Danio rerio: one gene and its partner. The protein of the gene in region 1 purifies or fractionates together with the protein of each later gene. This does not show direct contact. Links are inferred from orthologs where the notes say so. Each region holds a gene or a part of one and is shown on either strand. Other genes may lie near its edges. The genes, in order: pnkp and lig3.

Region 1 (3,836 bases):
TTAAGAAAAAAATATACAGAGGGGCTAATAATTCTGACTTCAACTGTGTATTACATATTAGCAGTTGTAAACAGGGCCTTTGGTTCTCTGTTGCTTATCACTACTCACCCTGTTCACGTACGCATAACCCTTTGGAATGATGTGGGTCTGGAAGAACGTTGACTTGCCCGCTGAAAAACAAAATAGGTTTAGATTATACAAAATTCCAGATTAGAGTAGGGAAAAAAACAAAGGGAAAAAAGCTCTCACCTCCAGGAAATCCCACAGCGACAATGATTTCCTGCTTGGTAGAGGTGAGCGAGGCATCAGGCGGATCATAAAGACGTGCTTTAGAGTCTAATTTCCTCTGGACAATGGCATAGAAAGACAGAATATTGGTAATGTTGTTCAATACTGTTCAAAAGATTAGAGCTGGCAGCCTGGCATGAATTTTGTTGTACTCGAAGGCAGGATTAATCGCAATAAATTTTTTTTTAAAAGGTGCGATTAATTAGTCAATTTTTTTAATCGATTGATATATATATATATATATATATATATATATATATATACACACACACACACACACACACACACACACACACACGCACACACGCACACACACCACACGCACACACATACGAAACATAAATATTGGGGAATAAGCAATCATTTACTGGGTCAAATTCTGGGAAGCTGAATGTAGCAGGTTTCCAGCCCAAGAAGTATTCCTCTGGGGTGTAAAACTGAAGACCAATGTTGAGGGCAAACTGTGGGCAAAGGACAGGAAAAAAAAAATCTAAAGGATTTCAAATTCTGTAAAGCTGACTAAAATGGAGCAAGAACAATCCTATTGTGCCCTCTCCTGGCCAAAAAAAGTAAAGACTTTATACGCAATAATCATATGCTGTAAATTAAAAAGAATACACAATTCAGTAATTCAGTATTGAATTAGCTATTTCAGTCATCCAATGAGCAATAAAGACTCCTAATGTCATTACCAGTCTGTCACTGCAGGAGAAGTCTTTCTTCTTTTTCCCTGGGGCCCAGTTAGCGGGACGTCCTGCTGCATCTGTACATGAATATATAAATTAATGAATGAACGAATGACCAAAAATATTTTGAATCTTCTTGCATTATCACATAATACATTTAAAAGAATGTATTCTTGTACATCATCTTATTATCTTTTGGAAAAACCTGTGTCATTTTCAGTCAAACAAAAAAACGTGCTGGTTGAATAAAAATAATTTTAAGTCAGAATTTGGCAGGGGTATACATAATTTTGGGCTTGACTGTATATTATTATTTCTTTAAATAGCAAAAAGAATCATGAGTTGTTTTTTTTTTTTTTTTTTTTTTTTTTGCTTTATAACTTGAATTAGGGGTCATTCTAACTGCATTCTAATAGTCTTCATCACACAATCAATATAGAGTATTTAGTTTGCTTGTTTTAAGCAAAAGTGAGTGACATCGTTTGTAATTTCAGCTTACACATTGTAAAAAAAAGTACAATATTAATCACAGATAATCATATTACAAAGCTAATCACACTCAAAAGGATTCAATTGAGCTCACCTCCTACATAAAAGCTCTCTGACACGTCTACCATCACTCCGCTATTCGCCTGCAAAACACCACAGTAAATGTGTAGCAAAACATGATGTGGCTTGCTGCTTATAACATAGGAACACTACAGTAATGCAGTCCCTCTAATACAAAAAAGTAATCGTGATTTACCTTCTCACACAGATGCTCCCACATCCCAATGACAGGTTTTCTGTAAATCCCAGGGGCTGTGGAAACAAACACCTGAAAAAGACAATATACTTTCATTTGTAAATTATATCCACACTTAATTTTATTCCACCACAAGTCAATGTATTTAAAGCAAGAAATCAATACTTTTGTCAAACAAAGATATATTAATTGTCAAGATACATTCTAGTCCTTTATCTTAAAGAGTTTTTTTAAAGGTTAACATTTAGATAAAATAACAAATGCTGCACGTTTCATTTTCAAATTAATTTGTAAAAATCTGCTGTAAAATATTCACTTCTGTACCCCTCTCTATACATACAGTTGAAACCAGAAGTTTACATACACTCTGAAAACAGGAACATAACCATTTCTTTTTAAATGTCTGATGGTAAATCATACTAAACGTTTACTATTTTAGCTCCGTTAGGATTACCTAAATGATTTACATTTGCTAAATGCCAGAATAATGAGAGATTTTTTTTCTTTACATTTTTTTATTAATTTCTTAACAGTTAAAAGTTTACATCCATTTCCTTGGTATTTTTTTAGCTTTGCTATTAAACTGTATAACTTTTGTCAAATGTTTTGGGTATCCTTCTACAAGCTTCTTACAATAGTTTGCAGGTATTTTGGCCCCTTCCTCCTGACAGAATTGGTGTAACTGAGGCAGATTTGCTCGCACAAGCTTTTTCAACTTTTTTTTTTTTCAAGCACATTTTAACGAATTTGGCAGTATGCTTAGGGTCATGGTCTGTTTGGAAGATCCAGTTGTGGCCAGGTTGTAGTTTCCTGGCTGATGTCTTGAGATGTTGCTTCAGCATTTCTACATAATGTTCTTTCTTAATGATATCATCTATGCTATGAATTGGACCAGACTCTTCTGCCGCTCCCATTCACCGTTGGGATGGTGTTCCTAGGCTTGTACGCTTTCACCTTTGTCCTCCAAATGTAACACTGGTTATTATGGCCAAACAGCTTAATCTTAGTTCCAATCAGACCTTAGGACATGTCTCCAAAAATTATTCTTTTTCCCAGCGTAATTTAGCAAATTGTAATCTGGCTTTTTTTTTTGTTGATTCTGGCTTGTTGATTTTCCCATGTTGTTATACAAGGAAGCAGTGTGTTTGAGGTTTTCCTTAAATGCTATTCTACAGTTGTGCCTCTAATTAACTCAAATTTTGTCAATTAGCCAATCAGAAACTTCCAAAACCTTGACACCATCATCTTTATCATCATCATCATCATTTTCAGAGGCATAGTAATCGTATTGTATGTAAACTTTTGACTTTCAAGAAAAGTTCTCAAAAAATATCTCTCAATATTCTGCTATTAAGCATAACAGAAACTAAATTGATAACCCTAATTTACCTAAAAGAGAAAAAGTTTAGTCAAATTAGCATCTGACTTCATAAAAATGGTTATGTGCCTTTTTATACAGTGTATGTAAACTTCTGGTTTCAACTGTAAGTAAGAGTAAATATAAAGAGTGAATATAAAGATGAATATGTACAATTGACTAAACATGCCAGCATGTATCAACAGGGTATATGTAAGAATCCTAAAGGTAATTTCAACACCTTTTTAGGAGTTTGGAAAAGACCTTCTCAGAATATTTGAAGACCTCATCAAAACTTCTAAAAAAAGTTCTAATCAGTATTAAACCTTTAAACTTAATAAACAGATGTTAATCAACTGTTGTTAATAAAGAATTGTAGTTAAATAAATCAATGGAGCACAACCATGCAACATAACTCAGATAAGCTCGGAAGAAACAAAGCTTGAAAGAATAAATTACGTGGTTGTTTTCAATGGCAGGCTTCAGCCACTGTTTAAACTCATCTTTCTCCAACCAGGAGTACGCAAACATATACTTTCCTATCTCCCTGTCTGTTTTGCTCTATGGTTTCACTACACTCGGACGGTGGAGCTTGGCCAGATGCGAAGAAACTTATATTATATACTTTTTTGGAGTAAAAACACTTTGGACAACGCTTGAACAAAAATTAAGTCCTCGTAAAAATGTGATTAAGACTTTTTCATACCTTTTAAAGCCCTTAATTTTCTCATAATTGATATAAACTTGTATTAATTTTTAA
Region 2 (3,836 bases), on another chromosome or scaffold:
TCCAAACGTGTATGATTATTATTTTTTTTTAATTCCACAAAGTTAACAGAATGTATTTTTGGGTTAAGTAAGCAATTGATTCATTGTTACTCATTTATAGATTAGATTCGATATTACGAACATGAAAAATGATGTACATATGTCCTCATTTAGACTAGTTTGTTGGTTCAAAAGCAGTAAAGAGGTTTAGAAACAGGAACTATATAATCTCTGCTATTGAATTACATTTTTTAAATGCTTATATTTTTGTCTTTTTTGTAATATTATTTGTTTAGGCAGAGGCATGCAAGTCCATTGAGTACGCCATGAAGAAGTGTCCTAATGGGATGTATTCTGAGATCAAATATGATGGTGAGCGCGTGCAGGTCCATAAGAACGGCAATCACTTCAGTTACTTCAGTCGCAGTCTCAAACCAGTCCTCCCACACAAGGTAAGGTCCTCCGGCAACTATTAACTGTTCAAGTGAAATTCCTGGGGATATATTAATACTGAAACCATTAATATTTGTTTAAGACATGGCTTAATTTATCCCACAGGTTGCCCATTTTAAGGACTTCATACCGCAGGCGTTTGCTGGTGGTCATAGCATGATCCTTGATGCTGAAGTTCTTCTTATTGACACAAAGACTAGCAAACCACTGCCTTTTGGGACTCTTGGAGTACACAAGGTAAACCAGAGAGCTGTGTAATATTCTCCCCTTATATACAAGACTCTTATATTAGAAGTTTCTGTAAGTCTGTATTTATTTGATTACATATACAGTAAAAACAGTAATTTTTGACTCTTTTTATTTTACAATATTTTAAAATGTTAATTAGGATTTTCAGCATTACGTCAATCTTTAGTATCACACGATCATTTAGGAATCATTTTTATTTTGCTGATTTTGTGTTTATGATATCATTTTATTAAGACCATTGAACTTATTACCTCAAACATCCTAGAAGAATTTCTAGGCAAAATTATTTAAATTATTAGATAAAAAAAAGAAATATATATATATATATATATATATATATATATATATATATATATATATATATATATATATATATATATATAATTAGTAGATATATAGTTCAAGACTGGGCTGATTTACCATCTGAACGCACTCAATATAAAAAAATAACTCCAGTTAAGAGGTTAAACAAAATTCTAAGAAGTACCAAAATTCTAAGCACTTTTTAAAGTATTGTATAAAATTTAAATAATTAAAAATTTGATTATTAACACCAATGAAAACTATTGCCATTTACTTTTCTATTGTTATTTTGTGATTTTTGATACAATCATAAGCCAACAGAATTGGATGTCTGAACTTACAGGAATAATTTTTTTTTTTTTGGAGCATAGAATATGCATATTTTACATAAAACATGGTACTTTTAGAAAATGGATAGACAGTGATAAAATATTTGTAAAAAATCTGGGGTCACATCAAAGACTCATCTCATTTAATTAGAGGGTCATCTCAACAATTAAGGACTGCATTATGAAGCATCTTAAGTGTTAAACTTAACTATTTTTTTGGTTCAGATAGTTAAAAAGAACAGCATTTTTTTAAAATTGAAATCTTTCAAAACATAATTCCTTTTCACTTTAATTCAATCCACCTTTGCCAAATAAAATGTTCTTTTGTTCAAAAAAATAAAAAGAAGAAAGTTTTAGAGGTAGTGAATATTACAGACTTAATGAATCTGTCTGATCTGAAACCATTGTCTGTTTTAATGTATGCTTTCAGAAAGCCGCTTTTCAGGATGCTCAAGTGGGCCTGTTCGTGTTCGACTGCATTTATTTTAATGGTGTCAGTCTAATGGACAAGTGAGTCAACCTGAAGGCATTCATTCTAGCTATTGCAGGTTTTAGAGAACAATAAAACCATTGTACTAAAGACTGATGGAAAATTTCAAAGAAAAGGCTTCTGAAATGTTGATCTGGTTATGATTTTTAGGCCTCTCTGTGAGAGAAGAAAGTTTCTCCATGATAATATGGTGGAAGTTCCTAACCGAATTCTGTTCTCAGAAATGAAGCATGTCACAGTAAGTCCTGCAGTGTTGTTGATGTCTTTTCTTTACACATAATGGAAGATTCAAGAATGTTTACCAAAGTGTGGGCAGGTCAATTTAATTACAGGATGATGTTATGGTAAGCCTTCAGAGTGGGTGACTTATTATAACAATTAATGGCATTGTGTCTTTACAGAGAGCTCCTGATCTGGCAGAAATGATCACGCGTGTCATCAGAGAGGGGCTGGAGGGCTTGGTTCTGAAGGATATAAAGGTAAATTAAGCCTGATTAGTGGGGTACTACAGTATATACCACATGTTGTTTGTTTTGTAAACTCCAAAACAAGTGTTCAACTTTTAAAACATTTTAATTTTAAATGAAGGCCAGTAATGGGTCTGTTCAGAGCTACAGAACCATTTACATGGCACCAATGCAATAAAGTTGGTTGCCAGAGACGCGTTCTAATCTCATGGCCCTTCATGGCCCTTTAAAAAAAATAAAAAATAAAAAGTTTGTCATAGGTCCAGAATCGCTGCTGTTAGATAAAAATTATGACGTTATGCAAAAATCACACAATTTTCTACTATAAAGTAGTCAAAAACAAAAGTATGTGACATAAATATGTCCATATTCACAGTACTTATTAATATATATATATTTTTTTGTTAATGTCAAGGTATGAAGCAAGGCAAATAAGACTGGTAGTTCAGATGACAATGACACATAGTCCTATGATTAATAAATGTAATAAATTTAAACAAATTTGGTTCTTCAATCAGATTAAATTGTCTGCATGAACTGATCTGATATCGCGTGTGTTGTGAGGAACAGATCTATCGATACTTGAAATCATGATCAGCAATCCAATCCTGCTGCTGAGGACACAGCAGCGTAATGACATCATCTTATTAATATTTAGTTATCCATGTGAGCAAAATTATATCAAATTTGTAGTAAATGGTTTGTTAAATCTGATATGCAATACCTTTCCATCTTTGTTGTGGGCTGCAGGCTTTACACTTTCATGTGTCAAGAGTATTCAGTTATTTATTTAGTTTTACAATTAGAGCAGATTTTCTTTATTATAGTAGACTAGCCTATTCAAGTTTCTTAATCAGCGTAAGGAATAACTGCCTTTACCGATATCAAAATTAATTTTGATATCTGTAAAGGTGCCTGCAACTTTTGCGAAGCATCAAATTACCGGCATATTAGCTGTCAAAGCATGATTTATGCATGAATACATAAATTAAATTATTATATCTTTAAAATATAAATGAAAGAAAATATTTATTATATATATATATATATATATATATATATATATATATATATATATATATATATATATATATATATATATATATATATATATATATATTGTGTAAATATTTTGAATATTGTGCATGTCTACTATTATACACAAATTGGACCAAAGCTGTGTCAGTACCTTAAATTGTACTTGTTTGTATCTAAGAAGTTCATATTAATAAATGTTCTTTTTGAACCCCTTGAGGAGAACCACCCCATGACCCCGTTTTGTGTATATTACCACTACTGTAAGAAAATATCAGCATTCGGTACATACTTTCAGTATTACCTTTGCTTAAAATTACCCAATCTAATCCTGTTTATATAAAATAAGCCTGCTCCTGAGCAGGTTTGAGCTACCAGAACTGTTGCTCTGACAACAACTCTCAGATGAGTTTTTAAGAACGAAACGATCCTGGATTGTGTCATCGTCAGTAACCAAATCCATAAGTGAGTAATTCATGTACGAACAACGGACCCCAGGTCCAATACGTAGTGGCCATTGTAACACCCACT

The links.
Region 2: the proteins of pnkp (region 1) and lig3 purify together in Homo sapiens (co-immunoprecipitation; 5 studies listed by BioGRID and IntAct, with this or other methods). This does not show direct contact. The link is inferred for Danio rerio from reciprocal best matches to the Homo sapiens genes PNKP and LIG3.

What each region holds. Positions count from the first base shown.
Region 1 is NC_133190.1:16,213,849-16,217,684, forward strand, and holds part of pnkp (bifunctional polynucleotide phosphatase/kinase), read right to left. Parts: intron 1,792-3,836; coding exon 1,720-1,791; intron 1,607-1,719; coding exon 1,558-1,606; intron 1,052-1,557; coding exon 981-1,051; intron 750-980; coding exon 657-749; intron 347-656; coding exon 250-346; intron 171-249; coding exon 109-170; intron 1-108. UniProt on the Homo sapiens protein: Plays a key role in the repair of DNA damage, functioning as part of both the non-homologous end-joining (NHEJ) and base excision repair (BER) pathways.
Region 2 is NC_133180.1:66,748,717-66,752,552, forward strand, and holds part of lig3 (DNA ligase 3), read left to right. Parts: intron 1-275; coding exon 276-431; intron 432-537; coding exon 538-669; intron 670-1,743; coding exon 1,744-1,823; intron 1,824-1,953; coding exon 1,954-2,041; intron 2,042-2,204; coding exon 2,205-2,282; intron 2,283-3,836. UniProt on the Homo sapiens protein: Isoform 3 functions as a heterodimer with DNA-repair protein XRCC1 in the nucleus and can correct defective DNA strand-break repair and sister chromatid exchange following treatment with ionizing radiation and alkylating agents.